7 linked regions of the Ovis aries genome follow. The main gene of each other region encodes a partner of the protein of the gene in region 3 in a complex. Links are inferred from orthologs where the notes say so. Each region holds a gene or a part of one and is shown on either strand. Other genes may lie near its edges.

Region 1 (3,896 bases), on a different chromosome or scaffold from region 3:
GCATTAACCACTGGACCACCAGGGCAGTCCCGAGAGGTTATTATTTTTTAAATAAATTTTTATTTATTTATTTGGCAGCACATGAGACCTTCTGTCTTCATTGTGGCATGAGGAATCTTTCATTGCGGCATATAGGATCTAGTGCCCTGACCAGGGATTGAACCCAGGTCCCCTGCCTTGGGAGCTTGAAGTCTTTGCCATTGCACCACCAGGGAAGTCCCCCGAGAGAGTATTTTAAAATTAATTTCTCTTTTTCTTTCTCTTTCATAGGGAGGAGAGTGGCAGCTGCATTGGGAGCCTGATTAGAACAGAACATGTAAAGACAGTTTGTGATGGACAGTATTTACATAATTTCCAGCGTAAAAGTGGAGCCATACCTATCACAAATCTAATGGCAGGTGACAGAATTATTTTAAGTGGAGAAGAGAGAACATTGTTTGCCTTGTCTAGGGGATACGTGAAGGAGATTAACTCAACAACAGTAACCTGTTCGTTAGACAGGTGATGAAATGTTCCCTTTTCGGGGGGGAGGGTAAAGCTTTATCGATAAGTAAACATATACCATACAGTTCATACATTTAAAGTATACAATTCAGTGGTGGTTAGTATATTCACCAACCTATGCAGTCAGCACCAAAATCCATTTTAGAGCATTTTCATTGCCCCTGAAAGACTCCCTGTACCCTGTAATCACTCCCCCAGCCCTAGGCAACCACCAGTTCCCTTTCTATATTTATAGATTTGCCTTTTCTGATTCATACACTTGTGTGGCCTTTTGTGACTGGCTTTTTTTACTTAACATACTGTTTCTGAGGTTCATCTTCATGTAGTAGATTGTACCAGTGCTTCATGCCTTTAAAAAAAATTTTAGATAAAATTCACATATCATAAAATTAACCATTAACCATTTTAAACATACAGTTCAGTGTGTGCATGTTAAGTCACTTCAGTCGTGTCCAACTCTGTAGCCCTATGGATGTAGCATGCCAGGCCCCTCTAACCATGATGATTCTCCAAGCAAGAATACTGGAGTGAGTTGCCATGGCCTCCTCCAGGGGATCTTCCTAACCCAGGGATTGAACCTGAGTCTCTTATGTCTCCTACATTGGCAGGCAGGTTCTTTACCACTAGTGCCACCTGGGGAGCCTATATGTTAATTGGCATTTAGCAGTTATCCAACTGCTAAAGTTTTGTTTAGTACATTATGTTCCATAGTAGTAATGTGGACATGTGTGTGTGGGTGTGTGCTCAGTTGCTAAGTTGTGTCCGACTCTTTGTGACCCCAGGGACTGTAGCCCACTAGGCTCCTGTCCATGGGATTTTCCATGTAAGAATTCTGAAGGAGGTTGCCATTTCCTTCTCCAGGGTAGCTTCTCAGCCCAGGGACTGAACTCACATCTCCTGCATTGGCAGGTGGATTCTTTACCACTGAGCCACCTGGGAAGCACAATACGGATGGAATCTTACCTAAATAATTCTCACAACCACGTGTGCAGCAGGCAGGACAGATGTCCTGTGTTGGCTGTAACGCTTATTTCTCCTCCTTAGCCCTCTGGGAGCTCACCATTTTGTTCAAATTGCTTTTTTCCATTTATTAGTTTATCAGTTCAGTCACTCAGTCGTGTCTGACTCTGCAACCCCATGAATTGCAGCACGCCAGGCCTCCTTGTCCATCACCAACTCCCGGAGTTCACTCAAACTCACGTCCATTGAGTCTGTGATGCCATCCAGCCATCTCATCCTCTGTCATCCCCTTCTCCTGCCCCTAATCCCTCCCAGCATCAGAGTTTTTTCCAATGAGTCACTCTTTGCATGAGGTGGCCAAAGTACTAGAGTTTCAGCTTTAGCATCATTCCTTCCAAAGAACACCCAGGACTGATCTCCTTTAGAATGGACTGGTTGGATTTTCTTATAGTCCAAGGGACTCTCAAGAGTCTTATCCAACACCACAGTTCAAAAGCATCAATTCTTCAGCGCTCAACTTTCTTCACAGTCCAACTCTCACATCCATACATGACCACTGGAAAAACCATAGCCTTGACTAGATGGACCTTTGTTGGCAAAGTAATGTCTCTGCTTTTTAATATGCTATCTAGGTTGGTCATAACTTTCCTTCCAAGGAGTAAGCATCTTTAATTTCATGGCTGCAATCACCATTTTCCATTTATAGTTGTGATATAAAGTGTAAATTAAAACAAAGTAAATTAATTTAAAGAAAAATATTAAGTAAATAGTAGAATAGTTGGTATGAAAATTTGTGGTAGAAGCTAATATCCATGTTCGTTAATATCCGTATTCCCCTCTTCCTGGACCCCCAGCCTTCCTTGCATTTAAGTGCAGGCATGAGTCACATTTCTCAGTGGGTGGAGATCAGTAATTGGGATCCAGAGGGTAACTGCAGTGGAAATTTCCAGGCTTGCTTTCCAGTAATCAGTAATCCTGGTTAAGCAGTAACTAGCCCTAGCCCAGGTTTCATGATATTGGTGTATAAGCCGTGATATTTCTGCTGTTTCTTAGGAGTCCCTTCAGTCCGTCCTGTGAAGTATTTATTTAGTACCTAACGTGTTAGATATTTTGCAAGTTCTTGAAGAATTTGTAGTCTTGTGGGTAACAAATAAATATATCTTTCAGTCTAATATGACAAGTGTTTGAATTAATGGGAAACAGAGGAGAGGCATTTAACCCAGTTTTAGGAGGCTCGGGGAAGGCGAGTGAAAAGGGTTGTTCTAGATCTTCATCCTGTGGTGGAATGTTAGCTCTGTGAAGCAGCGTGGGAGGCGTATACCAGACAGAGGGCACGGGGTGTGGAAAGGCCTGATGGTGTGAGGTGGGGTGTTCTGGAAAGTGTAGGTAGTAACTGCTTTCTGCAATGTAAAAGATAAAGGAGTTATTGGAGAGGTCCCGTCATAGAAGGGTTTATGTACCATGTTAAGTGAACAAAAGAATGATAATCAGATTTGCAGTTTTTCTGTGAATGCACTGTGGAGAATAGAGTTAATCAGTGGAGGCAAAACTGAAAGCAGAGGAACCAGGCTTAGTGGCCTGCTAAGTGGCCTGCTATAGGAACCTGCTATAGTGGCCCAGGCTTGAGGTGATTGGGAGCAAGGTAGTTTTGACGGAGAAGGTGGAATGCCTTTGAGAAGTATTTGGAAAGTAAAATTGTCTGACACTGAGATCCTGATTGGATCTGCAGGGTGGGAGAGGGAAGGATCAAGACAGTCATGTTAAAAAAAAAAAAAGACAGTCATGTAGATGCAAGAGCCATTACCTGAGGTCAGGTCCCCAGGAGGAGGAGAAGGCTTCAGCAGGGATAAAAAGCTGTCCCGTTTTGCAAACTTTCACTGCCTGAGTTTTAACTTAGTGGAAAGATCTTGCTGCTTGCTGGACATTCAAAGCTGAAGCTTGCGTGAGAAATGGGGTAAGAGAGGAATGTTAGGTCAGGCCTGGTGATGTAGATTTGGGATTCAGACTCAGGTGGAGCCATGGTACCAGTAGGGAAATGACAAGAAAGAACAGTACAGAGGAGCATGGAAGGGACCTTGGAAGGGACCTTGGGAACATCGCAGGTCAGCCTGATAGCGGAGCGGGAGAAGCCTTTGGGAAAGAGACATGTATTGCAGGCCTGAGGAGGCAGGGGCCATGTGCTCAGGATCCTGCTGGGGGTGGTGAGCCCAGGTTGGAGTTCAAGGAAGGCCAAGTGAGTTGTCAGCAGATGTTGTAGGTTTCGGATTATTAACTGCCCTTTTTTTTTTTTTTTTTTAATTTATTTGGCTGCTCCAGGTCTTAGATGCAGCATGCGAGAGTTTTAGTTGTGGCATATGAAGTCTTAGTTGTGGCATGTAGGATCTAGTTCTCTGACCAGGGAGTGAACCTGAGCCCCCTACAGTGGGAGCTCA
Region 2 (4,432 bases), on a different chromosome or scaffold from region 3:
GGCACCCTTCCCTGTGCTGCTGAGAATAACCCTTCAGAGAGCCAGAGCTAGCATACTGCCCCTGAGATGAAGCTACTGCTGTTTTATTTGATGGAACCCAGTCTGCACTTACGAAGTATAATCTTGTGTTTTTACGAGACCAGAAACTTGGAGCAATTAAGATAAGCATCCAATATTTGTGTGACTATCTGAGGGAACCTACCAGTTACCTCAAAAAATTAAAGCCAGGTACTGAAGACCCTCTAGGGCCTAACAACTATCTCCCTTTCATTCACTGCCCTCCCAAATATTCATAGGATACTCATAGGCTAAGTTAGAATTCCACGGGCAGAAGAGCCTAATGAGCTACAGTCCATGGGACTGCAAAGAGACACAATTGAGCGACACATGAATGAAAAGTCTTGCCCATTACTTTCCAACACCTTGTTCCTGCTAAATGTCCTGCACACCACCGTGCCGTGCTTAGTCACCCAGTTGTGTCTGGCATTTTGTAACCCATGGACTGCAGCCTGTCAGCTACTCAAGCCCAGCTTGAATCCCTGCTCCTCTCTAAAACCTTACCTTCCTAATTTGCCATTGATAACGCCTACCTGGCACTTGTGTGGCCTCCATTTCAGTGTTGTATTCTTGTCTGAGTAATCTTGATGCCATCCTCTTTAATACCTCTTGATAACTCCACTTAACCTGTAGGACAGCACAGTTGCTACTTCCATAGGACCTTCCTTGACTTCTTGAGTCTCATTCATTTCCATATTACCAGCACTTGGAACAAAGACACTTAAGAGCTCCCAGAGAAATGAATAAATATTAACAGCCTAAGGACTTCCTACACCCTTCAACACAAACACACCCTTCTCAGACTTTCACCAAATGTACACATTCAAAACATTTACTGTACTCGAAGATGAGTGCTCATAACAGCTCTATTCCTAACTCCTAGCCCAACCCCATTCTTCCACACTCCTCCTCAAAAGAGCCTGGGGTATTTGAGAAGTGGGTCTGGCTGGACAGCGAGGTCACAAAAACCAAAAGTCTGAATGCCATAGATTCACATTGCACGGCTGAATATCTATCTGGGCGACCTCCAGCAAGCGCTGCTCTGTACCCCAGGGCATGTCAGGGAGCGGAGACACAGCTACTTGCGTGGTGGAGCTGGTGAATTTGCCTAGGTAACTCAGTTCGCTGCGCTTACACCACCGCAGTGGCCTACCGAATCCTAACAATCGGTACCAGAGCGCCAGGCGAGGTTGGGCCCAACAAGGGCGGGAAGCAACAGGGTTCAGCGGGCACTCAATGGAGCATCGCGGCGCGCTCTGATGATGTCATTCCTCCGCGCCCGCCAACTGGCAGGTGATTGGCTCGTTGGTTCGGGGGCGTGTCCCGGCGGCTGAGGCGAGCCACGGCGCGCGGGCGGTTGGTCCATCCCTCCTTCCACGCGGGTATAGGCCGGGCTCAGTGTCTTTAGAGATCAGCCGGAGGCAGGCATGGCTGGAATCTCCGCTTCAGGCAGCAGGAGGCGAAGTGGGCCCCCGGCACCTAGTCCTGGCCCTCCGCCCAGCACCGGGCACCCTCCGAGCAAGCGGGCCCGAGGCATCCCCGCCGCCCCGGACCCCGAAGACCCATTCGGCCTGCATGGGGATTTCACCGCCGACGACCTGGAGGAACTCGACACGCTTGCGTCCCAGGCCCTGAGCCAGTGCCCGACCACGGCTCGGGACGTGTCCAGTGAGTTCGCCTTTTCCCCTTGAGAGTGGTGCAGACTTCCCTAGCCCCCCCCCCCCCCCAGATGGCTGTGCCTTCGCAACCCCGCAGTGACCGTTCCGGTGTCTTGCACCCACACTGCCCCTTCCTAGGAACAGTTTGATTTAAGCAGCTGTGTGTCCCAAGAGGTCTTTTGATTTGAGGGGAGAAATGTATCAGGAATGTCAAACAGCCGATTTGGAATGTAGGAAGCTAGGTTAACATTTTACTTGGGTTTCTATACTTTGGACCACTGGGTTCTTAGTTCTCAGCAGAGATCTTTGCAACACATCTATCACAGCCATAAGAAGCATCTTTACCTACACATGGGGACCCATGGTTATGACATATTTGGGAGGCTTTGGATCGAATGAAGACCACCTTTTCCTTTGGACCGCCTGAGCACAAGAGGGATCTGGCAGAGGCAAGAGATAGGATAGACTTATTCTTTTTATACAACCAATTAATTGTACTACGTCCCCAAACCTTAGAAGCTACAGACACTTAGCAACAAACAAAAGCCCCCACCTTCTTGGAGCTTACACTCATTCTAGTGACGTCTTATGGGGTTCCCTGGAAGAGAAAGGTTTTGAGGGTACCTTGAATCTCTACTTGGATGTCTTGTAGGCAAGTTAAATTCCACACAGTCATTTCCTGGAAATCCAGTCATCTGCCAGCATCTCCAGCATGATGCCTGGCAAAGCAGACATTCAGAAAAGACATGTTGATGAACACATGTTCTGCATGGTGAAGACTGGCACCAGTTTCCATCCCATACCACAAGCCAACATCCCCATTGCCCCTTTCCAAATCCTGTACCTTTACCTTTTTCTTCCATCCCAAGAATCCATCCTCTGCATCATCTCTGCCATCTCCCTGATCTGTGTTACCATCACCCCTCCCCTGGACAAAAGTCCACTAAATTGTGTACATATTTCAGGTTATGACTCCTACAAGTCAGACTTCACACCACAGCCAGAGTGATCATTTTAAAACTAAAATCTCTGTGACACAGAGATGCACAGTGAACATCCCTACTGAAAGCCTTGAATGACTTCACACTTCCGGTATAAAGATTAAAATCATTAACATGGCCCGGAAGACCCAGCGTGGCCTGACCCTTTCCCTCTTGGGTTTCTAGCCACACTGACCTTCCTTCATTCCTTGAATTCTCCCTGCTTCCCTACAATACAGAAACTGCACACGCTGTGTCTTTTTTTTTTTTTTTTTGCTGCACTGCATGTGGGATTTAGTTCCCAAGGATCAAACCCACCCTCCCTGCAGTGCAAGTGTGAAGTTTTAACCACTGGACCACCAGGGAAGTCCCTATTGCTGTTTCTTACACGTTGAGTGTTCTTTCCATCCATTCCCCATCGCCACTGCTCTGGTTAATTCCTGCTTGTTCTTCAGCTCTCCATTCAGTTATCACTTATCTAGGGAAGGCTTCTGGAGAAGGCAGTGGCACCCCACTCCAGTATTCTTTTGCTTGGAAAACCCCATGGACAGAGGAGCCTGGTGGGCTGCAGTCCATGGGCTTGCTAAGAGTCGGACACGACTGAGCGACTTCACTTTCACTTTTCACTTTCATGCATTGGAGAAGGAAATGGCAACCCACTCCAGTGTTCTTGCCTGGAGAATTCCAGGGACAGGGGAGCCTGGTGGGCTACCATCTATGGGGTCGCACAGAGTCGAACATGACTGAAGCGACTTAGCAGCCGGGAAGGCTTCCAGTCGTCCTTGTGGATGAAATCCCCTGTTACAGGCATTGCTCTGTTTGTTCTTCTCTGCAGCTATTATAACAGTCGTAATTTTACGTTTATTCTTATATTTTTGATTGCCATGTAAGCTCCATGAGTGTAAGGACTGTATCCATTTCTCTCATCACTGTAGCTTTCTTTAGAGGCTAAATTGTGCCTGACATATTGTAGATGCTAAGTAAATACTGTTGAATAATGGATCACTGAGCTTCGAACAGTGAGGTTCCCACAGCACCTTTCAGCCCTTAGCTGAGACCCTTAAAACTGGATGCAGGGAAAAAAACAAGAAACTGAGTGTGGAATGGGGAGAGGGTGGCAGAATTTGTTATTTCATAAGGATTGAATCATGTTCTTATGTTGGAAAATACCTATTCTCCTTACTAGATCTTTCTCTCATTTGCTTTCAAAAGTGATTGTTTTCAGCACTGGCTGTTAAAAGTGGGAAAATACTGAGCCTTAACAAGTATATGGGAACTGATTTTTCTTGATTGTTGTTTTTTACAGATGTTCATAAGTTCACCAGATTAGATGGGATGTCAAAATATCCTGCAGGAAAAAACAGAGAAAGTGTTCCAGTTAAAGATAATTTTGAATTAGAGGTACTTCAGGCACAATACAAAGAACTTAAAGAAAAGGTAAGGGATTTAACTTGTCATTTTTGTAGTTAATGCATTCACTTATGCATGTGTTAGAAAGCAGTATACAATAAAATATAGAAAAGTTTTAAGACAAGAGTCCAGATTCATCCCCGTGAATTGGGAGAAAGCTGGGGAAAGAAAGCCAGAAAATTTTGGTTGCAACTAAATCCTGAGATTCCTAACAGCCAAGGCAAGAGAAGAAACACTTTGTAAACCCTGTACAAAAAGAGATACAAACTTTCTGTTATAGTACTGAGATATTTATAGCATGTGTCTTATAGAAGAAACACAACATCA
Region 3 (3,896 bases):
ATAATTTGGTTTAAAAAAGGTGGATTCTGACTCAGTCAATACATTGGCGGTGTTATCCCATCTTCAAAAAAAAAAAAAAAGAAACAAATAAAAAAACAAACCAACTATTTTTTTCTGCCCCCTTAGAGATTTGAACAAATAGGAAATATACAGCCATTTGAAAAGAATGCCTGAAGTATATACTAGGGATTTTAAGTAAAAAGAATGGTCGGAGATATAGCATGACAAGACGCTTGTTGAGATGCCACTACTTGGATTTTTCATCTCTCCATTGTGGTTTGGTTTCGTTTACATAAAGCGCAGAAGTCTGCGCTGCCAGAATGCATCTCTCGCAAAACCAACCACTTATCACTTGTCAAGGCTGCCACGTGCCTTCTGTTGTGGCCCAGGGCTCCATGCGGCTCCCAAGGAGACATCACCTCTTGGGGCTTTGACTAAGCCTCCTGGCAAGTCAGACAATGTCTCTGATTTCTCCTGCCTGTGAGACTACTCACATCTAGAAAACTAATGTCAACTGCTATAAATGCTTCCGCCTGAGACCAAGGATTTTACTTATGACTGAACCCCGTGCCCACAGACGGCATCAGAAGGTTACCAGGGAAGAAAGACAGCAGCAAGAAGCATGTTTCTTCTTGGCCTACTGTTATCTCTCACCTCACGGGCCTGCACAGAGGTAAGCCCTCTGTTTCCCAGAGCTGAGGACTCTTCTTTCCCCACCTGACAGATACTCACACTCTCGTCAACCAGCTCTATGGAGAAAAGCTTTCCTTCCCCTCGAGAGTTGCTCCAGGTGCGGATCTGACTTTTGTTGGTGACACGAGCACAGATAGTCCACCTAAAAATAAAAAACGGATCATCTCAGTGTCGGGAGTCTTACTTGGGAAAGATCTGAAACGTTCCCTCCCTATTATCTTCTTAGAGGCTTTCTTACCTTATGCATATTCTATTTTCCAGGGGAAGCTGTATTTTAATCCAGCTAATTAAAACCCCAGGATGACATCCAGGTTTGACAGTTTATAGAATAAGCAAATAGTAAAACACACAAGGTGATTTAACACTGACTCATTCTCCTGTCAAATAAGTAAATTTATAAACGCTTTCTCTTCTCCAAAAGGCATCACCAAGGCAACACTATCCCCTTAATGAAAGGTTCTAAGCTAGAAAATGCAGTAATACCAGCAATTATATTTTGCCGCTATTTTCAATTATAGGAACTGATATAACTGATGTCAAACTTCTGTCTCACTTCCAGCGCACATGGAATGTAAACACAAGGGTATGGAACATGGCATTGGTTAAGCCACCAAAAGAAAACACTCTCAAGCACTATGATTTTAGACAGAAGCCATTAAAAAGGGGGGGGGGGGCGCAAGGTCTGATATCCAATCCTGGTGCCCATCCCACGTGTAGCTACTGGACACATTAGCTACCCTACTCATCATTTCACAGGGGAACAGCCCTTCCTCACATTGCCAACAACTGAAGAATAAATACGTAAATAATATCTGAAAGAACTTTGAGAAGAGCACAAATTTTCAACTGCTAAAATGTTTAATGAAAGGAATCATATAAAAGAAGTATCTGTTCAGTGTATATGAATACAGTTGACACAAATACATTCTTTTTTAAAAAAATTTATTTACTTTAGTTGGAGGCTAATTACTTTACAATATTGTAGTGGTTTTTGCTATACATTGACATGAATCAGCCATGGGTTTACTTGTGTTCCCCATCCTGAACTCCCTCCTACCTCCCTCCCCATCCCATCCCTCTGGGTCATCCCAGTGCACCAGCCCTGAGCACCCTGTCTCATGCATCAAACCTGGACTGGCGATCTGTTTCACATATGGTAACATACATGTTTCAATGCTATTCTCTCAGATCATCCCACCCTCGCCTTCTCCCAGAGTCCAAAAGACTGTTCTATACATCTGTGTCTCTTTTTCTGTCTCGCATATAGGGTTATCGTTACCATCTTTCTAAATTCCATAGCTATGTGTTAGTATACTGTATTGGTGTTTTTCTTTCCGGCCTACTTCACTCTGTATAATAGGCTCCAGTACACACATATTCTTTTAAGCCAACCAAATTGCAGTAATAATTTTTGGACTGAAAGTCATCTATTTATTTGATGAGAAGATGAAATGCCTTCTGAATTAGAACAAAGATTTATTTTTACTCATCAGACTATCAACTGGTTCTTAAAACTCTGTTGTTGCTGTTTAGCCACTAAATCGTATTTGACTCTTTGCAACCCCATGGACTGTAGCTCGCCAGGCTCCTCTGTCCTTGAGATTTCCCAGGCAAGGATACTGGAGTGGGTTGCCATTTCCTTCTCCAGGGGATCTTCCCGACCCAGGGATTGTACACACGCCTGTCGTCTCCTGCACTGGCACTCGGAGTCTTCACAGCTGAGCCACCAGGAAGCCCCCCTTAAAACATTAAATCTTTTAATTTTCAAGTTCTTTTAAAATGAATGAAGTTCCATAGGCTATGGCTGATTGCTCTTTCTGCCATTATTTTATTATGAAATAGTTAAAGGTTGCCACAATTTGTAACCCTTCTGGAAAAAAAAAAACACGGAGGAAACCTATTTTATGCATGGTAACCCTGAAGTTCACATATGAGTAACTCAAGAGCCCATAACAACCTCTTATACTCCTCAGTTCCTTCTAAACGTATTCTATGAAATAACTCACTTGGATTGGTATGGGGTGAGGCTGGCAATGGGTACCACTTTGGCCTGTGTTCCCCCAGAGCTGTTCACTTGGCTGGTACCGCCAGCTTTTCCAAATGTCTTTGAGGCACCAAAAGCCTTAGATGCAGTGGAAGCTTTAAAATCAAATACAAAGAAGGACAATCATTATTTTATTTAAATTTTATGGTAAGTTTTGTAAGAACTCTTAATTTACTAGTGACATCATATAAAATGAGAAGCCAAGGTTTTCCTTTTAAATAATCAAGAGATCTGGAAATCAAACAGAGACTGAAACGGGAGACTAGAGTGAGGTCTAAAATGAAGGCTGGGTGTACAGATGTTCAGGACTGAATCTGCTGACCTACATCCTGAGGTTGAGATAATTAGGTAATGAATCCAGACTCTGCTATTTCAGAGATGAATCTTTAAACTTTTCCCTTGTATCAGTAGGCAAGATAATAGGTTGGAGAAAGAAAATAACCTTGACTGAGAAGTGAAGACAAGCCACTGGTTGCATAAGAGAAAGCAAGAAGGAAAGGCTGGGAATTAAGGGACACAGTGGGGGAACCATCCGAAGTGAAGAGTACCTATTACAAACAAATCTCCTCAAAACACCCCCAGAAAACTCCCAGCTCTCAACTGGTCTTACAGGAACAGATCATCTAGAATGAAGTTTATGGGACTGGGTTTAATTGGGAGCAAAGGGCAACGAATCAGTCTTCTGTTTAAGATGAACAGGGGTCGGGGGGACTGGCTATCGTGGCCCCTTCTTGCCTCCTTTTCATCCAAGCCTACACAGCTGCCTTGCACTTGGGAAGAATGTGTCATTATGTAACACCTATAAGCAGAAGAAGGCCTTTACATGCACGCTGTTTCTATTACGATTCAACCTCCAAGTTCAGAAGCAATAATTTAGTCCAATGATTTAATATCTTCTATACCAAAATATTTCTTCAACATGGCATCCGGGTAGAAATGCGTATCTTCCATTATTCAGAATTTATTTACTGAGTTTCCACAGCAAGCACCACACTATTCTGGGTACTTACAGCACTTGGCAAAAAATAGACATAAACTGTCCCAGATCTTAAAATTTTCTAACTCGGGAGTCAAGAGACGGCTTACACACACAGCACTAACAGTCACCTCAAGGTAACTCAAGGAAGCACACACTGTCTGTAGAATATCTTATGTGTAT
Region 4 (4,667 bases), on a different chromosome or scaffold from region 3:
GGTTTGGGGTAAGGGGTTTAGTTTTTGGTGGCTTATTTATTTTGGCCATGGTTCGTTCCCTAACCAGGGGTTGAACTTGCACCCTAGGCAGTGAAAGCTCAGACTCCTTACCAGTGGATCCTCAGGGAATTCCCAAGGGGTTTAGATCTGCTGCCAAGTGCAGTAGTTGGAAACCACTGCAGGATCTAAACCGGGGAAAGGTGTGACATGATTGACATCTTAAGAAGGTCACTTTGGTGCTGTATGGAGAGTGCAGTGGAGGGGCAGGGGACCACTCAGAGTGCTCCCATCAACACTCAAGTGAGAGATGATGGTGGCCTGAGCCAGAATGATGGCTGTGGGCATGGGAGAGGAGGACCAAGTTGCCATCTGTTTAGGAGGCAGAGCGCTCAGGCTTGCTGAAGGATTGCAGTATGTAAGAGGTGGGTCAGGATGGAGTCAAGGATGAGTCCCAGTTTACTGACCTAAATGCCTGCGTAGAAGTGGTACCATTTACACTGACCCCCTTAAAAGGCAAGAATAATCTCCCCCAGTAATCCAGGGAAACCTGATAAGGGAGGAAACCTGACGTAAGGAGAGGAAGTGGAGTCCAGAATTGCAGACCAGGAGCAGGAGGGTAACGGTCCCACAAACGTGGCTTCCTCACTGGCAACACTGCCAGAGGAGCAAGGCCCTAAAGGAACGCAGGGGTGCCCAAGGGTCCCTCAAAGCACACCAGGTGCTGCAAGAAACCAGAGGCCAGGAGCCCCTCCGTGACTTGCCCTCCTCTTCGCACACCTGCGGACCGAGGCTGCGGACGAGGGAAGACCTGCCAGGCTGACTGCTGTGTCCCACCGGCGCCAGTCGTGTCGCACCCTTTGTGACCCCATGGACTGTAGCCCGCCAGACTCCTCGGTCCATGGGATTTTCTGGGCAAGAACACTGGGGTGCGTTGCCATTTCCTCTTCCAGGGGATCTTCCCGACCCAGGGATTAACTAAGCCCCTCTTTTGGCACCCTCTCTTGGTCATTTTCCAACGGCCAGAGACGCAGGAGTCTATCCTCATAAAATGTTTCCAGTGCTTTCCATCAGTGACCTTCATCATTCAGCAGCCCTCCTCTCACAAACCCACTTCCCTCCCAACGGAGGGAAGAGCCCCCACGTGCTGCTGAGTCTTGACTCTCGCCTTCTCCTGCTGGCCAAATCTTTCTACCCCTTTTCGTCCGGGGAAGCTTCTGTTCTTTGGGATCAAAGAAGGATCGTAGAAGCCACGGCGAGCAGCCACTTCCCACCCCGGGATCCTGTAGCAAGGTGCGTTACTATCTTTTCGGAGCTGGCAGTTGCTGCTTCTGTCCGCGTCCCCGGCCCGCCCGGACGGGGTGAGACGGTCTTGCATCGACCCCGTACGCACCCCGCCGGCGCCCGACAAACGTCCAGGAAATCCGTACTAAATTAGTGACCCGGGCCGGGCCCGCCCGCACATCTCCGGATTCCGAGCTCACTGTTCGCTCCCCGACACCCTCTGGGCGTCTCGCGTTCGGGTGAGGGGCCGCGGTGGGGCCGGCTGCCCGCCGTGCTTCACAGGGGCGCTCGAGGGCCGAGAGTGGGCCTAGACCGCACGGAGGAACCCGGCGCTCCCGGGTCACGTGACAGGGCCCGCCCAGGGCGCAGCCTCCGTCACGTGACGGCGCAGCCGGCGAGCGTCTTTCTCACGTGACGGAGCTGCCGGCTTGCGGCCCAATCAGAGGGCGGGGGCGGGGCTGCCGGGGGCGGTGCGCGGGAAGGGAACCCCAACCGCCCGGAGCCGCGGGAGAGACCCGGAGCGGATCGTTGAGCTGGGGTCCGGCCCAAAGCCCCCCGCCCGCCCCATCCCGGTCACTGCGGGCAGCATGAAGTGTCTTGTCACGGGCAGCAACGTGAAGGGTGAGTCGGGGCCGGCCGGGGGCTGGAACCACGTGGGATGGCCCGAGGCGCCCGCAAACCGCTGTCTCTCTCCTCCCCGCAGTGCTCGGCAAGGCCGTCCACTCCCTGTCCCGCATCGGGGACGAACTCTACCTGGAGCCCCTGGAAGACGGGGTGAGGAGACCGGGTATGGGGGAATGGCGTGAAAGTCCCAACAGGGAGCCCTGATCGGGGCTCGAGTCTCGCCCCCATCAGGCAGGGTGCCCGGTGGGCACGTTTGCTGAGTTTAACAGGGGCCTCCCCTGTTGCTGGGGTGTCCCTTTGGGCCCTGTCATCTTCCTAGGCCGGTGTCTGAATCGAGAGCCCTTGCCCTCCCTCAAATGCCCAGTGGTGGATGGGGGTGATTAGGTAAAAGGCGTGGGTGCTGAAGGCTGGGTCGCGCCCTTGCTGTGGAAACGGCGGGGCTGACGCCCACTCGGGACTCGGGGAAGGCTTCATGGAGGACACCCCTAATGACTGAAAGGAAAGGGCGGGCTTCTGCAGGTGATGGTGGAACAGAAGCCTTTGGGGCAAGTGCCTGGGCAAAGCTGGCTTGAGGGCTGGGCCCAGCACTGCTGGTGACCACATCTTTCTCCCCACTTTTCCTGGCCCCAGCTCTCCCTCCGGACCGTGAACTCCTCCCGCTCGGCCTACGCCTGCTTCCTCTTTGCCCCCCTCTTCTTCCAGCAGTACCAGGCTGCCACCCCTGGGCAGGACCAGCTGCGCTGTAAGATCCTGATGAAGGTGAGGTGGGTCCCTCAGCAGTGGCAGGGCACTCCCCCCAGGAACCCCTCTTGGCAGTGCAGTTTGCTCTGGAGCACAGAGCAGGTGCCTGCAGGAGGAGAGATGTATACTGGAGCAGTCCGGTGCAGAACGCAGAGCCTGGCCAAGTAGAGACATCCATGGGGGTAACGGGCCATATGGAGAGGGTAGCTGAATCTGCCAGGAACCTGCAGGGAGTAAATGACTCTCAGGTTGGTCCTTGAAAGATACGCAGGTCTTTTGAAGGCATTCCAGACCAGGATAAGAGCACAAATGAAGGCCTGGAAGGGTGCAGATATCTGCATGTGTGAGGGGTCCTTTCCTGGTGTGACAGTGTTGAGCCCATGATGGGCCAGAGCCCAAGGCGACTGGACATGAGAGCCAGTTGGCGGAGGCGCAGTGCTGAGCGGATGTGTTTCCCTCGCCTAGTCCTTCCTGTCTGTCTTCCGCTCGCTGGCAATGCTGGAAAAGACTGTGGAGAAATGCTGCATTTCCCTGAATGACAGGAGCAGCCGCCTGGTAGTTCAGCTGCACTGCAAATATGGTGAGTGAGCAGCTGGCTGATCCAGGGGTCCTTGCGGTGTGGGATTAGAGGTTGGTGAGCCCGCTGAGACCCTGTCTGCCCATCCAGGGGTGAGGAAGACTCACAACCTGTCCTTCCAGGACTGCGAGTCCCTGCAGGCCATCTTCGACCCAGCCTTGTGTCCCCATGTGCTCCGTGCCCCAGCCAGGTGAGCACGCCCCTGGTTGCACGCTGAGCCCTAGGCTTTTCTCTTCCTTCTTTCAGCCTCAGGAGTCAGTTTAAGGAGGCACCTCCTCCGTTTTTCCTGCAGGGTATCTGTGAACCTCAAAGCGTTCATCCAACCCAGTTTGCTTTCAGGGCCTTGCCTGGCCCTTTAAGGGCAGAGGCTGGAGTGAGGAGGGGCCAGATGCTCCCTTATCCCATGTTCCTCTCTGTCTCCTGAGTCTGTATTCTCCACCTCAAAGTCTGACTTGGCTTTCTGACCACTCAGCCCCACTCTGACTCCTCTTTCAAAGAACAGGTCTCCGGCTTGCCCTCACATCTCCTCTGGCCTTTGAAGGTCCGTTAATTTTTGTGGCTCCGGGACTTGTGACCTTTCTCTGACCTGGTCATCCTTCTGGGATGAGTCCCATTCAAGGGCAGCCTCTCTTCCTACCTGGCTGGGTTCTATCCCTGAGGGGTTCTCAGGCCACGGCTGGACAGGGAGGTCACGGTCCTGGAGGGCTGCCTGAATAATCAGCTATAGGAGAGGAGCCATTCTGGGCAGTCACAGGGGCCGTACAAGACCTGGGAGATGGGGAGCCCAGCAGACGCCAAGGTCCCTAGAGAAGACCAGAGGCTTGGGTCCCCTCCCACCTGCCCACGTGCAGGGTGCACCTTGCACTCAAGTAACCCAAGGTCTCACGTTTCTTTGCTTTTGGTAGCCGCAGGACCTGGTAACCTGAAGGTCCCTTTGAGCCCTGACTTTGTTTTTCTGAGTTTTGTTGAAATAGCACTACCTAGGATCCCTTTGGGTAGAGAAAGAATCAATCCATGGTCTGGGTTTTGAGAATTTTTCTTTTTTTTAAAACGAGTGATTGTTTCTCTTTATCTTATGGACAATTTCAAATTCATATAAAAGCAGATGATAACCAGCTTTGTCCCAGTTGTCTTGAGGCAAATTCCAGGTATTATTTCACCTGAAACTATTTACTAGCCTGTCTCTACTAGACAGGGACCTGAGGACTCTTTGTAAGGCGGTGTTCATGCGGACAATGTGGGTCTGGTCTCCCAATCCTGGATGGGCAGGTGCCACCTGCCTGGTTCGGTTCAGCACAAACCGCCTGAACTTCCTGCTGCCTTCTGTGGGCCTGTTCTTGTCTGCCTCCATCTCTTGCAAGAGGACTGCTCTCCTACAACATCCTGGGAACCTTGGGTGAGGCAGAGACTGTGTCCTGCTGCCCCCGTGCTCCACCCTGGGGCC
Region 5 (4,627 bases), on a different chromosome or scaffold from region 3:
GACTATTCCCTTCAATTTCCTCTTGCCATGTTCTTAAGTTTTCCATAAGATTTTCAAAATTGAGGTCTTTATGCCTTGATTTATTATTTAACCATGTAAAAAACTTAATTCTTTGCTCACTGGAGACATTACACTCTTTAAGAAAGAGGGAACAGATGTGGATTTGATTTGGTGGTGACATATCTGACTGTAAAAAGTAAGATGGAAATCCTTGAACCCGATAGTTCCTTGATCCTACTGGCTTTACCTGTACCTTCACTCGCCACCAAGCATCAGTTAATGGAAAACGTCCAAACACGTCACATTTCTCCTGAGTGTTTTCATCAAACACAGAAACTTTAAAAAAAAAAAAAAAAAAAGGAAATGTTAATTTAGGATAATTTAAAATCTTTCCCAATGTTTTGTCAACTCCACTACTCTCTTTAATCCCGGGACGGTTCCCTGTACAGGTGTCTATTGCAGTGTCTATATTCCACTTACCTGTTTATCTGTCTTCCTCTACTACACTGTTGGAAAAGGACATGGCAACCCACTGCAGCATTCTTGCCTAGAGAATCCTGTGGACAGAGTAGCCTGGTGGGCTGCTGTCCATGGGGTCACACAGAGTTGGACACGACTGAAGCTACTTAGCATGCATGCATGCATTGGAGAAGGAAATGGCAACCCACTCCAGTGTTCTTGCCTGGAGAATCCCAGGGATGGAGGAGCCTGGTGGGCTGCCGTCTGTGGGGTCCCACAGAGTTGGACACAACTGAAGCGACTTAGCAGCAGCAGCTACTACACTGTAAGCTTTCTAGAATAAGATAATGTCTTATTTGTCATTGTATTCCAGGAGGGAGGCCTGGTACCTGGCAAGTCTGTTGTTCCTCTCCTAAAAGAGGTTGCCTCTCTGCTACTCTGATCTCAGCCAATACTGACCTCCAAGGAGTATCTAAAAAAAATGTCAGGGTCAAAAAGACACATGTACCCCAGTGTTCACTGCAGCACTGTTTACAATAGCTAGAACATGAAAGCAACCTAGATGTCCATCGACAGATGAATGGATAACGAAGCTGTGGTACATTACATATATATAATGGAATACTACTCAGCCATAAAAAGGAACGCATTTGAGTCAGTTCTAATGAGATGGATGAAGTTAGAGCCTATTTTCCAGAGTGAAGTCAGAAAGAGAAAAATAAATATCATATACTGATGCATATATGTGGAATCTAAAAAGATGGTACTCATGAATTTATTTTCAGGGCAGCAATGGAGAACCAGACATAGAGAACAGACCTATGGACATGTGGGCAGGGGAGGAGGAAGAGTATGAGATGTATGGAGAGAGTAACATGGAAACTTACAATACCATATGTAAAATAGATAGCTAGTGGGAATTTGCTGTGTGGCTCAAACAGGACTCTGTGACAACCTGGAAGCGTGGGATCCAGAGGGAGACGAGAGGGAGGTTTGGGAGGGAAGAGATATGGGTGTACCTATGGCTGATTCTTGTAGATGTATGACAGAAAACCACAAAATTCTGTACAGCAATTATCCTCCAATCAAAAAAAAAAAAAAAAAGTCAAGGTCCCTCCTACTAGTCTTTGCAAAAGCTGTTGCATCTGCCTTAAATATTTTCTTCCTTACTGTTTACCACATTTACTACAGAACTCAGATTAACTGTCACTCCCTCAGAAAACCTTCCCTGAATCTCATAAATATAACCTCATGGCACTTCATACAATTTCTATTAAGCACTGATATTATAGTTACTTCCCAGGTGGTGCTAGTGGTAAAGAACCTGCCTGCCAATGCAAGAGACACAAGAGACAACGGTTCAATCCCTGGATCATGGGGAAGATCCCCTGGAGGATGGTGTGGCAACCCACTCCAGTATTCTTGATTGGAGAATCCCATGGACAGAGGTGTCTGGTGGGCTATAATCCATAGGGTTGCAAAGAGTCGGACATGACTGAAGCAACTTAGCATACACAGCTGCGATTATTTGTAAAATACCTATTTAATGCACTTAGAGGGGAAGCTCCATTAAGACAGCAACCTCATCATCTAATCTCTCCAGGGTACCCCAACAACAAACTTATCTCGCTTGGAACACCTTAGCCAGTCGATAACACTTGCAGGATGAATAACTAAACCCTCCACAAAAACTTAAACATTTTCTGTCTAAACTTGTGCTGCCTACTCACCTGTGACTATTTAATTAAAATTAAAACTTTAGATTCAGCTCCTCTGGTACACTAGCTGCATTTGAAGTTTTCAATAACCACTCATGGCTAGCAGCTATTGTATAGGACAGTTCGAATTTACAGCAATCCCATCACAGAAAATTCTACTGGACAGCAACTGGTCTGAACATTCAAACATTCTTAAACATCAGTCACCAGGAACACACAATAGGTGTAATTCTTAGGACAGGAAACTAGACAAGATAAATACAGATCACAACAGGTTAATGAGTCAACAGTGCTTGTGGTGTTTCACGTGTATGTGTGTTTAAGCAGCTGAACAGCAACCACATATTCGACTCCAGGAAAGAAATAGTTAAAAGCCCTGATTCGGGGTGTTAATACTGGCTGGACACCCACTGTTTCCTTGTTTATAAAACTACCTCAAAAAGTTGTGAACATTAATGAGATTCACGTGAAGCCCAAGCTTAACATAAAGTATTTGCTCAAGTCTCTGCTATTATTGTTATTTTATTCTAAACAGGACGAAGCACTTAGGCGATTCCAAAGGAATTCTGTTAGCAGCGATGGAGTGCAGTACTTTGGAGGAGGCCATAATAGAAACAATTCATTAATCCGCCGATCCCACCCCCGAGGAGCGAGTTATTTCCTCACCACGGAGCAGCCCAGGGAGGCTACCAGCATTTACGCCCCCACTGCAAAGCTCCTCTGCGTCTAGAAACACCGTGTCTTCGTCCTCCTCCGCGTCCTCCCTTAAATATTCGTCTTCCTCTTCCACCATGTCCTTGGGTGGGAGCAGTGGTCCCTGCAGCTCCAGCAAGGGCTGACTCGACGAGGCCATAGTCCATTGTCCCGAGCTCGACCCCAATTCCGGAAAACCCCGGCCTGCGAGACGCCCATGGTCAGCCAATCAGCTCCGCGACTGTAGGACCTTCGGCTTCCCGGGGGTGGGCTAAATGTGTGACTTGAGTTAACCGTATGGAGATGGATGGCAACTAAACTTGTGGTGATGATCATGCTTTAGTATACACAGACACTGAGCTATAATGCTGTACGCCTGAAACTTGTTTTAAAAGATAAAGGCCATGCGCTTTCACAAATGTACCTCCTCCCCCGGAAGCTAGTTTGCGCGAAGCTCCGCCTCAAGTTCCCAGCGGAGGGAACGGGATAGGATGGAACGCCGAAATTCTGAGGGGGCGGGGCAGGGGCAGGGGCGGGGCAGGGGCAGGGGCGGGGCAGGGGCAGGGGCGGGGCAGGGGCAGGGGCGGGGCAGGGGCAGGGGCGGGGCAGGGGCAGGGGCGGGGCAGGGGCGGGGCAGGGGGCGGGGCACTCTCCCACCCCGCTGCACAGTCAAACTCCCTGCTCCGCCTGGTGCTGGGAGGAAACTAGCTGTTTAGGCCGCGGCATAAATAGCACCTGCAGAGCCGCTAACTCACCGCGTCTCCTGCCTAGAGAGAAACTCGAGGGAAGGTCAATCTACTGAACCTAAGGTGAAGGTGAAGTCGCTCAGTCGTGTCCGACTCTTTGCCTCCCCGTGGACTGTAGCCTACCAGGCTCCTCCGTCCAGGGGATTCTCCAGGCAAGAATACTGGATTGGGTTGCCATTTCCTTCTCCAGAGGATCAAACCCAGGTCTCCCGCATTGGGGGCAGACGCTTTAACCTCTGAGCCACCAAGGAAGCCTTAAGAGCTAGGAAAAGCAAGCCCTTCCCAACGACTGGAAAACAAAAATCCAAATGCCCTTCCGCCAACACCCAAAGCTCAAAGCCGTGAATCTCCAGCCAGGAGACCCGCCTAGGCGTGACTACTTTGGGCCTCTTGTTTTTTATTCAGAAGTTGAATTTGTAAGATCAAAGGCACTTTATTCAAGGTACAGATCTCTAGGCCTCATTCCATACCCATTGTATCGGGATCTAGGGCTGGGACTTAACGCACGTCTCAAGTTGTTCGTTTTGATGCTCAGCCAGATTTGGAAAGCAGTGGATTCAATAACTTTCACAATGCTCCTCATTTCCTCTGTGAGTATACCCTGGCCTCCCAAACTTTAGGCTGAGCTGCCATCTGCTAGTGCGTGCTAAGTCGCTTCAGTGGTGTCGACTCTGTGCGACCCTAAGGACTGTACTCCAGGCAAGAATACTGGAGTGGACTGCCATGCCCGCCTCCAGGGGATCTTCCTGACCCAGGAATCGAACCTGCATTGCAGGCAGATTCTTTACCGCTGAGCTACCGGGGAAGCCTCACAGTGGAGCAAAAGAAGTTATAGCCCAGGGTATAAACAAGAATAGGGGAAGGCAAGTAGAAGAGAAAGAGGTGATTTAAAAGTTATTCTGGAGCCATGGTTCCCATAAGTTTGAAAATCATGGTACTTTTTGAGGAACAGCATAAAATATACGATTACATTACTATTTTGATACTATTATGAAATTACTCAATAGTAAA
Region 6 (3,896 bases), on a different chromosome or scaffold from region 3:
TAGTTATTAAAATAGAATTATTACTTGTCTAGCTCTCGTATTATTGTTATGATTGAATTAGGTAAAAATTGTTTGTAAACTATAGACTACTACAAATATTAGGTATATTAAAATTTAGTATGATAGTTAAATTATCTGCTGTAAAAGAACTGTGTTCAAAAGTTTCTTCTTTATTTCAGCTTTTGTGATGCTTGAGTAATAGGTCACTCTGCTCTGGACCTCTTTCTTTTTTTTCTTATATGGCAACATTTACATCCAGAAAACATCCAATTTCTGTTTAGTGTCCTCACAGGAAGTATGGTATTTTCCTTGATGTGGCCTCAGATAGTGACTGTATGTTGACCATAAACAATACATGACACTGGCCCAAACTGTGGTTACAAGGATCACCATCCAGGTGGAGGAGACAGGAAATAAAGTTTTTCTTAGTGGCTATAAAACATCCAAAATTACAACTAGGACAGTCGAAAGAACTATGTTGCTACTAGCTCTACTTTCCATCTTTGGCATGTCATAGAAATACATTTTACATAGAGTTCATTAGTTAAATAGCATTTATGCCTTATATTACCCACTCCAGTGTTCTTGCCTGGAGAATCCCAGGGGCGGGGGAGCCTGGTGGGCTTCCGTCTATGCGGTCACACAGAGTCGGACACGACTGAAGTGACTTAACAGCAACAGCATGCCTTATATTACTTGCTACATAAGTTAACAATAGATATTCATTAAATTGTTGATTTTACACGAAAGAAGCATAATAAAATGTGTCTGGACTGGCCAGCCTAAATAGTGATAAAAAAGGTAAGTAAATTATTGAACTCTTTACTTAAGTAGGCTGGAAATAATTGCTCACATAAAGAAACGGCAGCAGTATGCAAGTGATAACTTGTGTATAAGAATGCAGTTAAATTAGTTGCTTTTAAATGGTACCCCTTTCAAGTGAGCACTTTTAAAGCATATAAATCTTTGGTAATATCAAGGTCTGTTTAGGAACTTGTCATGTTCCAGAACAGCATAGGTGAGTTACCCTCCTCAAATAATTATTTAAATCACCTTCATAGTTCCAGAGATATATTTTAAAATTTAAACTTTTTTTTAATTGATGGGGCTTTCCTGGTGGCTCAGTGGTAAAGAATCCACCTGCCAATTCAGGAGACGTGGATTCAGTCCCTGGGTCAGGAAGATCCTGTGGAGTAGGAGATGGCAACCCACTCCAGTTTCCTTGCCTGGGAAATCCCATGGACAGAGGAGCCAGGTGGGCTACAGTCCATTTAGTCACAAAGAGCTGGACACGACTTAGGGACTAAACAACAAACAGCAGTAGTTCCTGAGATGACATTTTTTTAATTTGCATTTTTATTTTAATTGATCAGTCATTTTACTTTCTTCGGGATACTTTTCATGCAGTGTTGTTTGTTTGAAGATGGTATATATTTTTCTATCATTTTTATACAACTCTGCACAGTATACTTTAGAATTAAATGAACTAATGTGCTTAGATACATTCTACAGCACCTGGGTTGTACTATGTAATTATTAATGAGGAATTTTAAAAAATGTAACATTTACAAATAATATAAAAACTATATATAGGACCCATATATTTATATTACTGGATATATAAAGTTATTATACTTTTATTCTCTAAAAATGGAGTGAATTTAAAATTACTTGGTAAATGGACCAAAAAAATCCATAATTAAATCATTAAGAATGTTATCTTCCCAAATTCAAGATTGTTGAAACAAAAGGGAAGTTATGTATTGAGTCTAAAATCAAAATTATTGCTTTTCTTGAGTATTTGCAAAGCTGAAAACTGCTAGATTCAATTGGACATCTAAGGAAACTACTTTTTGATTGATTGATGATTTTGAAGTACCAAGTGGTAGGCAACTTATCACCTAACTTTCTAGTGTATAAACTTGAACTGACATCTTTATGCTCAGCATTTTGCTAGATACTGAGCTATCACAGAAACTGTCCTTGCCTTCAAGTAATCTGTAATCTAGTAATTAGATTATTTTGTGTGACAGTTACTTGTTTATTCATTCCAGGTACTATAAACATAGAGTAGAAAATGATTAACTTGTTTATTTTGTTGGTTTGGTTTGTAACTAATAATAAATTCATTCTCTAATTTTGTGCATGATCAAGTGACTAAAAGGTATAAAAGAAACATGTATGACTAAGATGGCTTTTTTCTAGCCTTAATACTGGTTAAAACTTCTTTACCCACTTTCTCTACTTAATTTTGTTCTTCTCCCTACCTCATTCACAGCATCAGTTCTAATCTTGCCATTATCTCTAACCTGTCCTGACTTAATGCTAAATTTTCTTAGTTCTATCTAAATGTTGTCAGTTCACGTCAACATGGATTGTCCAACTTAGATGAATGTTATAATGGCAATAGGGAAAATTTGGAGATTCAGGTAATACAGAAAGAACTCCCTATTTATCTTTTTATTCCTAATTCTGATAATTCCTACTGCACAGTTTATTTCTAGTACTAATGTTTATTTTTATCAATGTCTTACGACAAATAAGTTGATCAGTTTTCTTTTGATAAAAATATGTACTTTTATTATTGAATATGTATTTCTATTCTGCAGTGGCTTCCACAGTGGCTCAGATGGTAAAGAATCTGCCCGCAATCAATGCAGGAGACCTGGGTTCGATCTCTGGGTCAGGAAGTTCCCCTGGAGAAGGGAATGGCTATCCACTCCAGTGTTTTTGCCTGGAAAATTCCATTGACAGAGGAGTCTGGCAGGCTATAGTCCATGGGGTCGCAAAGAGTCAGACATGACTGAGCAACTAACATGCATTTCTAATTAAATTCTTAAAAACTTAAAAGTTTTTTTAAAATATGGAATTCCCAATTCTGAGTGTTTTCATTCCCTAAAGCAAGTAGATCACTTCTTACAACTTGTTATTACTATCCTCCAGGTTTTCATTGTTTTTGAAGTTTGTTTAATTGCTGTCACTTTACCAGAATTTGCTCCTTTAAGAAAATAATTCTACATAATTAAAGTGGGTTTTTGTTTGGTTAGTTGTTTTTGTACTTTCACATCTCTTTTTTTTTTCGTCCTTCTGCCAAAGGATGAGAAACCAACAACAGACTCCATGCTGGGCGTGTGGATTGGTGACACTGCTATTCCTTGCACTCCAAGTGTAGCAAAAGGAAAATCAAGAGCAAAACTCAGCTGCACAAAGTAAGTTTAAACTTTTCAGTTTTTCTTATATTCAATGAAGTAAATATTTTTAGTATTTTGGTTGGGTTTTGTGTGTATGTCAAAATGGTTATAAATTATTATCCTTAACTTTGACATGTAATGTTTTGAACTTATTTATGTCTGGATGTGTTAAAATTTGTGAGTTTTAACATTAAAATATGTTAAATAACAGTTGAGTATTTATGACATTTAGAATATCTACATAATTTTTGAAATATTTGTTTAATAGGTTAAAATCACAAAATCAAGAGGAAGAACTTATGAAATTAGCTAAGCAATTTGATAAAAATATGGAAGAGCTGGATGTGATTCAAGAGCAAGACAAGAGAAATCATGATCTTATCCAGATGATTTCAGAAGCAGAGACTTCACATAATTACAGAGATAATATACAGATGCAGTTACCATGTGATATAGTTCCTGAAATAGATAAGGCTATAATAAAGAAGCCAGTGAAAGAAAACACCAAGATACCTGTGGTAAATGATCAAACCAGCAGTCAGAAGCCATTTGACCAAAATGCTGAAGCAGCCTTTATTGCCATGTTTGATGGTTCTACTCAGAAATGTAGTGGACAGTTAAGCCAAGATTTGTCAGATGCTTTCTTGAAAACCAGTAATACTACCTTTGGAAAGAAAAACACTTTGAAAGAGGAGAAAATCATTA
Region 7 (4,057 bases), on a different chromosome or scaffold from region 3:
TTGCCTGGAGAATGCCCTAGATCGAGAAGCCTGGCGGGCTATACAGTCCATGGGGTCGCAAAGAGTTGGACACGATTGAGCGACTGACCACGCATACACTTGAAATCACCTCTTTGAAAAGCAGAGTCACACCATTTCAACCTGAAAAAAAAAATTCTAGACAAAGGCAGCAGAGGCCAAATCCTCGCCTGAAACGGGAGGATAAGCCCCGAGGGCCAAAGCCTCGGAAACAGCGCCAGCCAGGCTCCTGCCCTCAGGCCATCTACCCACCGCGCTCATCTTCCTCACTCTTCCTCACCACCTTTCCTATTCAAATTTCAGCCTGCGATTTCCTCTGCCTCCCTCTCCCGAGTCCCACCTCTACCACTCAGCCTCGGCGCTCCCGCCTGGCCTTCCCGCGCCTCTCCTCCCCCAGCTCAGCCACCAGGGTCAAGCCTCCTGCTACCAGGCTTCAGCGTTCCGACCGGGTCTCCCGACCCTCCCCCCTTCCCCCCATTCTCGGCCAGGCCACCTGTCCCCCGGGCTCGGCGTCTGCCGCCAGGTCTCCGCTCCCCAGCCTCCGGCTGTCTGGCCGGTCTCCCGCCACCCCCCGATCCAGCCTCTATCCTCGGCTCATTCTCGGTCCCCCGGGGCTCGGCTCCTGCAGCCGGATCACCGTCCCCCGGCCCGGCCTCCAGTCCCCCCCCCCCCCCCAAGCCCCGTGTCTCTGCATCTGCGGGCTTCAGCGCTCGTTCCCGCCCTCGCTGTCGTGGCAAAACAAAGGATCCGCCGCCGGATCGTGCCTGCATCCTGTCTCCTCCTCGGGGTAGCTGCAGGCCGTTGCAGGTCCCCAGGGCAGGCGCTGGGCTTGGGGGCAGGGGGTGGTGGTGGAGGGAACCAGTCCAGGACTGACGGCGCGACGGCATCACTCACCGTTCAGCCACAACGTTGCAGCTCTGCTGGATTCCACTCCTGGTCTGCTTCCGCCGCAGCCGCGCTCAGAGTTGATCCTCAGAGCAGGCCCCGCCCCTGGCCCCGCCCACCACCCGCCCCTCTGCTTTGAGGGCTCAGTTCAGCCCCGACACGTCCATCAGACCCCGACTCGCCCCTCCCCGCGCCCCGCCCGCCCTTGAACCCCGCCTCCTCAAGGCCCGGCCCCACCGGAACCCCGCCCCCTCACAGACCCCGCCCCGCACGACAACTCTGCCGTCTCACGGGTCGAGCGAGCTCCAGCGTCCCGGCGACGGTGCGTAAGCCGTTCCCGGCTGTTGCTTGGTTGTGGTCCCGGTTCTGCTCTAGGACGCCACCTCCTTAGAGGCCCGTGCGCTCCCCTACTTCCTGCTCCTGCCCAGTTCCCGCGCTCGGTTTGAAGATTCCGTCCCGCCCCGGAGGCAGAGCTCGTGTCCAGCCAGCCGCAGAGGAGCCACGGGTTCCGCCCCCCGCGAAAGTTTTGGAGGTAAACGGAGGCCGGACCCCTGGGTAGAGAGCAAGACGTTACCAGCGGGCCTTCCGGGAGGGCAAACCGTCTCTTCCCGCCCATTCTCACTGCCCCTTCCCCCACTAGCCCGCCAGGCTCTTCTGTCCACGGGATTCTCCAGGTGGGAATCCTGGAGCGGGTTGCCATGCTCTCCTCCAGGGGATCTTCCCGAGTCACGGATCGAACCCAGGTCTCCCTCATTGCAGGCGGATTCTTTTTCATCTGAGCCACCAGGTATTATTTACTTCGTTCTGTGTTATGGCTACCATTCCTTCAGTGCTTATCTGTGCTCTAACATTGTGGTAATGTCTTTTCAACAACCCCTGGAGGTAGGAATAACAGTTCGCACCTAGGCTTTAAAAGGTTAAAAAGGTTGGTTTGCTCTTGGTAAGGGTTATGCAACTCAGATCCTAGGAATAAAGCCTGTATGCCTCCCAGATTGAGAGAAGACCAGTGTTTGGCAGTCCCTTTGTTGCTGCATAAAACTGAAGACTAGGACCTACTCCCAACGTGAACAGTGGTTGGCATGCAGTTATTTGTAAGAGATAACTAGTGGGCTAGCTTCTTTTAACCAGTCCCATCACCCCATAAAGAGGCTCAGGTCGCTTCCTGTGCTAAACTTGCTTATCAAACGATGCTCCAGTTAAAGCAGTAGGAGGGGCTTTTGTGTAGATTGCACTAATTTACTTAGAGAAACTTTAGAGGAAAACAGCTGGCAGTGTCTTCTCAATTTTGAGATTTCTTTTTATAAAGGTGCCTCCCAGCTGTCCGAACTTGATCTGGGCCTCCAGGGGAAAGACTTTGGGGGAAGGTGGGCGGCACTCCAGCTGAGGGAAATGTGCAGGAGTGGGCCAGATCTTGCAGGCAGTGGTCATTATGGTTCATTTGGTGAGAAGGCTGAATAATAAGACATCAAATGGGCAGTGGTTTCCGGCCAGATTTTGAAGAGTTTGGACTTACTGAGGTAAACTTGAGTGTGCATTTAGTGATGCTCTGAATCATTAATGAGTGATTAATTGTGGAAAAGTTATGTAAATAGTCCTTAAAAATTTTTTTAATTGGAGTATAGTTGAGTTACAGTGATAATTTCAGGTGTACAGCAAGAGTGATTCAGTTATGCATATATCATTCTTTTTCAGATTTTTTTTTCTCATATAAGAATATTGAATAGAGTTCCCTGTGCTACTCAGAAGGTCCTTGTTGGTTGTCTGTCATCTGTATAGTGTATATGTGTTAATCCCAAGCTCCTGATTTATTCCTCCCACTCCCGCCACATTTCCCCTTTGAGATGGCTGGATGGCATCACCGACTCGATGGACATGAGTTTGAGTAAACTCCGGGAGTTGGTGATGGACAAGGAGGTCCGGTGTGCTACGATTCATGGGGTCCCAAAGAGTTGGGCACAACTGAGCGACTGAACTGAACCATAAGCTTGTTTGCAATATCTGTCTGTTTTGTAAATAAGTTCACTTGTATCATTTTAAAAAAATACTTAAGATTCCACATATGAGTGATCTGGTAGGATATTTGTCTTTCTGTGTCTGACTTCATTTAGTTTGATAATTTCTAGATTCATCCCTGATGCTGTAAATGGCATTATTTCACTCTTTTTTATGGCTGAATAATATTTCATTGTATATGTATACCACATGTCTTTATCCATTCCTCTGTTGATGGACATTCAGGTTACTTCCATGTCTTGGCTACTGAAAATGGTTTTAAGGGTGGTTAGTCTGGCAGAATTAGGCTGTTTGGTTGGGAAATCCTGTGAGCAGGGTAGAAGGGTGAAAGAATCAGAAAAATTCTGATTTTCTGAATCACTGAATGTTTTCTTCCTTACAGGAGACTTTTGGGAAATTTAAATTTGAGTTACTCTGTTCAAGCATAGACAAAATGATTGAAGGAAGGGGGAAAAAAAGAAAAAGTCAATTAGTATACTAAATTATGTAAAGAGTATATTTCATTTGGGAAATAAACTGAATTACTGTAAATGAAGTTTTAGTCACATTATTATGAATACTTTAGCAGTGGGAGAAATAGTATAAATATATTACAAGAGGCCCTAAAAGGAATGATATTAAGAAAACATTGCCAAATATTAGAACTTGAACATATATATCGGAAAACACAAAATACTTTTGAAACTATTCTCAGGACAGACGGAGAAGTTGTAGTGGGGAATAGAAATTGATTCTGAAGGAGATCAGCCCTGGGATTCCTTTGGAAGGAATGATGCTAAAGCTGAAACTCCAGTACTTTGGCCACCTCATTCGAAGAGTTGACTCATTGGAAAAGACTCTGATGCTGGGAGGGATTGGGGGCAGGAGGAGAAGGGGACAACAGAGGATGAGATAGCTGGATGGCATCACGGACTCGATGAACGTGAGTCTGAGTGAACTCCGGGAGCTGGTGATGGACAGGGAGGCCTGGAGTGCTGCAATTCATGGGGTCGCAAAGAGTCGGACACGACTGAGCAACTGAACTGAACTGAACTGTGATTAGACAAAAAAGAAACTAGGAGAACTGGGCTGGAGAGAACCTTGGGAGTCAGGCTTCAGCTCTTCTGGTGTGTGTGTGCTCAGTCAGGTCTGACTCTCTGCG

What was found.
Region 1: the proteins of RPA1 (region 3) and DNA2 are in contact, whole or in part, in a crystal structure (PDB 5EAY), measured with the Homo sapiens proteins. The link is inferred for Ovis aries from reciprocal best matches to the Homo sapiens genes RPA1 and DNA2. Residues at the interface, in NP_002936.1 of Homo sapiens: Asn29, Ile30, Arg31, Ile33, Arg41, Arg43, Leu44, Leu45, Ser54, Ser55, Met57, Asn85, Leu87, Lys88, Arg91, Val93, Ile95; in NP_001073918.2 of Homo sapiens: Glu6, Leu7, Glu8, Leu10, Met11, Lys13, Ser14, Phe15, Trp16.
Region 2: the proteins of RPA1 (region 3) and ATRIP are in contact, whole or in part, in a crystal structure (PDB 7XV4), measured with the Homo sapiens proteins. The link is inferred for Ovis aries from reciprocal best matches to the Homo sapiens genes RPA1 and ATRIP. Residues at the interface, in NP_002936.1 of Homo sapiens: Ile33, Thr34, Arg41, Arg43, Ser54, Met57, Thr86, Leu87, Lys88, Asp89, Arg91, Val93; in NP_569055.1 of Homo sapiens: Gly53, Asp54, Phe55, Thr56, Asp58, Asp59, Leu60, Glu62, Leu63, Asp64.
Region 4: the proteins of RPA1 (region 3) and RAD9A are in contact, whole or in part, in a crystal structure (PDB 8JZY), measured with the Homo sapiens proteins. The link is inferred for Ovis aries from reciprocal best matches to the Homo sapiens genes RPA1 and RAD9A. Residues at the interface, in NP_002936.1 of Homo sapiens: Asn29, Arg31, Ile33, Arg41, Arg43, Leu44, Leu45, Ser54, Ser55, Phe56, Met57, Asn85, Leu87, Lys88, Asp89, Arg91, Val93; in NP_004575.1 of Homo sapiens: Asp297, Phe298, Ala299, Asn300, Asp301, Asp302, Ile303, Asp304, Tyr306, Met307, Ile308, Met310.
Region 5: the proteins of RPA1 (region 3) and HELB are in contact, whole or in part, in a crystal structure (PDB 7XV1), measured with the Homo sapiens proteins. The link is inferred for Ovis aries from reciprocal best matches to the Homo sapiens genes RPA1 and HELB. Residues at the interface, in NP_002936.1 of Homo sapiens: Asn29, Ile30, Arg31, Ile33, Arg41, Arg43, Leu44, Leu45, Ser54, Ser55, Met57, Ala59, Thr60, Gln61, Arg81, Ile83, Asn85, Leu87, Arg91, Val93, Ile95, Met97, Glu120; in NP_001357214.1 of Homo sapiens: Glu496, Glu499, Val500, Lys502, Ala503, Cys504, Asp506, Phe507, Glu508, Asp510, Asn512, Ala513, Glu516, Trp517, Thr519.
Region 6: the proteins of RPA1 (region 3) and ETAA1 are in contact, whole or in part, in a crystal structure (PDB 8JZV), measured with the Homo sapiens proteins. The link is inferred for Ovis aries from reciprocal best matches to the Homo sapiens genes RPA1 and ETAA1. Residues at the interface, in NP_002936.1 of Homo sapiens: Arg31, Ile33, Thr34, Pro39, Arg41, Arg43, Ser54, Ser55, Met57, Asn85, Leu87, Arg91, Arg92, Val93, Ile95; in NP_061875.2 of Homo sapiens: Thr599, Trp600, Glu601, Ala602, Asp606, Asp607, Leu609, Leu610, Tyr611, Ala613, Cys614, Asp615.
Region 7: the proteins of RPA1 (region 3) and PRIMPOL are in contact, whole or in part, in a crystal structure (PDB 5N85), measured with the Homo sapiens proteins. The link is inferred for Ovis aries from reciprocal best matches to the Homo sapiens genes RPA1 and PRIMPOL. Residues at the interface, in NP_002936.1 of Homo sapiens: Arg31, Pro32, Ile33, Thr34, Thr35, Arg41, Arg43, Leu53, Ser54, Ser55, Met57, Asn85, Leu87, Lys88, Arg91, Arg92, Val93, Tyr118, Asn119, Glu120; in NP_001332824.1 of Homo sapiens: Asp514, Asn515, Gly516, Ile517, Asp518, Asp519, Tyr521, Phe522, Leu523, Glu524, Ala525.

The regions. Positions count from the first base shown.
Region 1 is NC_056078.1:24,047,788-24,051,683, reverse strand, and holds part of DNA2 (DNA replication ATP-dependent helicase/nuclease DNA2), read left to right. Parts: intron 1-270; coding exon 271-501; intron 502-3,896. UniProt on the Homo sapiens protein: Key enzyme involved in DNA replication and DNA repair in nucleus and mitochondrion.
Region 2 is NC_056072.1:51,443,550-51,447,981, reverse strand, and holds the start of ATRIP (ATR-interacting protein), read left to right. Parts: upstream 1-1,385; 5' UTR 1,386-1,484; coding exon 1,485-1,725; intron 1,726-4,001; coding exon 4,002-4,132; intron 4,133-4,432. UniProt on the Homo sapiens protein: Required for checkpoint signaling after DNA damage. Required for ATR expression, possibly by stabilizing the protein.
Region 3 is NC_056064.1:22,817,900-22,821,795, reverse strand, and holds part of RPA1 (replication protein A 70 kDa DNA-binding subunit), read right to left. Parts: intron 2,833-3,896; coding exon 2,700-2,832; intron 836-2,699; coding exon 733-835; intron 1-732. UniProt on the Homo sapiens protein: As part of the heterotrimeric replication protein A complex (RPA/RP-A), binds and stabilizes single-stranded DNA intermediates that form during DNA replication or upon DNA stress.
Region 4 is NC_056074.1:41,691,711-41,696,377, forward strand, and holds the start of RAD9A (cell cycle checkpoint control protein RAD9A), read left to right. Parts: upstream 1-1,750; 5' UTR 1,751-1,868; coding exon 1,869-1,902; intron 1,903-1,984; coding exon 1,985-2,055; exon of another isoform or gene 2,056-2,068; intron 2,069-2,535; coding exon 2,536-2,664; intron 2,665-3,111; coding exon 3,112-3,226; intron 3,227-3,313; coding exon 3,314-3,413; intron 3,414-4,667. UniProt on the Homo sapiens protein: Component of the 9-1-1 cell-cycle checkpoint response complex that plays a major role in DNA repair. The 9-1-1 complex is recruited to DNA lesion upon damage by the RAD17-replication factor C (RFC) clamp loader complex.
Region 5 is NC_056056.1:153,678,717-153,683,343, forward strand, and holds the start of HELB (DNA helicase B), read right to left. Parts: upstream 3,072-4,627; 5' UTR 3,031-3,071; coding exon 2,844-3,030; intron 337-2,843; coding exon 1-336.
Region 6 is NC_056056.1:40,912,317-40,916,212, reverse strand, and holds part of ETAA1 (ewing's tumor-associated antigen 1), read left to right. Parts: intron 1-3,096; coding exon 3,097-3,209; intron 3,210-3,459; coding exon 3,460-3,896. UniProt on the Homo sapiens protein: Replication stress response protein that accumulates at DNA damage sites and promotes replication fork progression and integrity.
Region 7 is NC_056079.1:14,255,535-14,259,591, forward strand, and holds the start of PRIMPOL (DNA-directed primase/polymerase protein), read left to right. Parts: upstream 1-1,257; 5' UTR 1,258-1,435; intron 1,436-1,543; 5' UTR 1,544-1,690; intron 1,691-4,057. UniProt on the Homo sapiens protein: DNA primase and DNA polymerase required to tolerate replication-stalling lesions by bypassing them.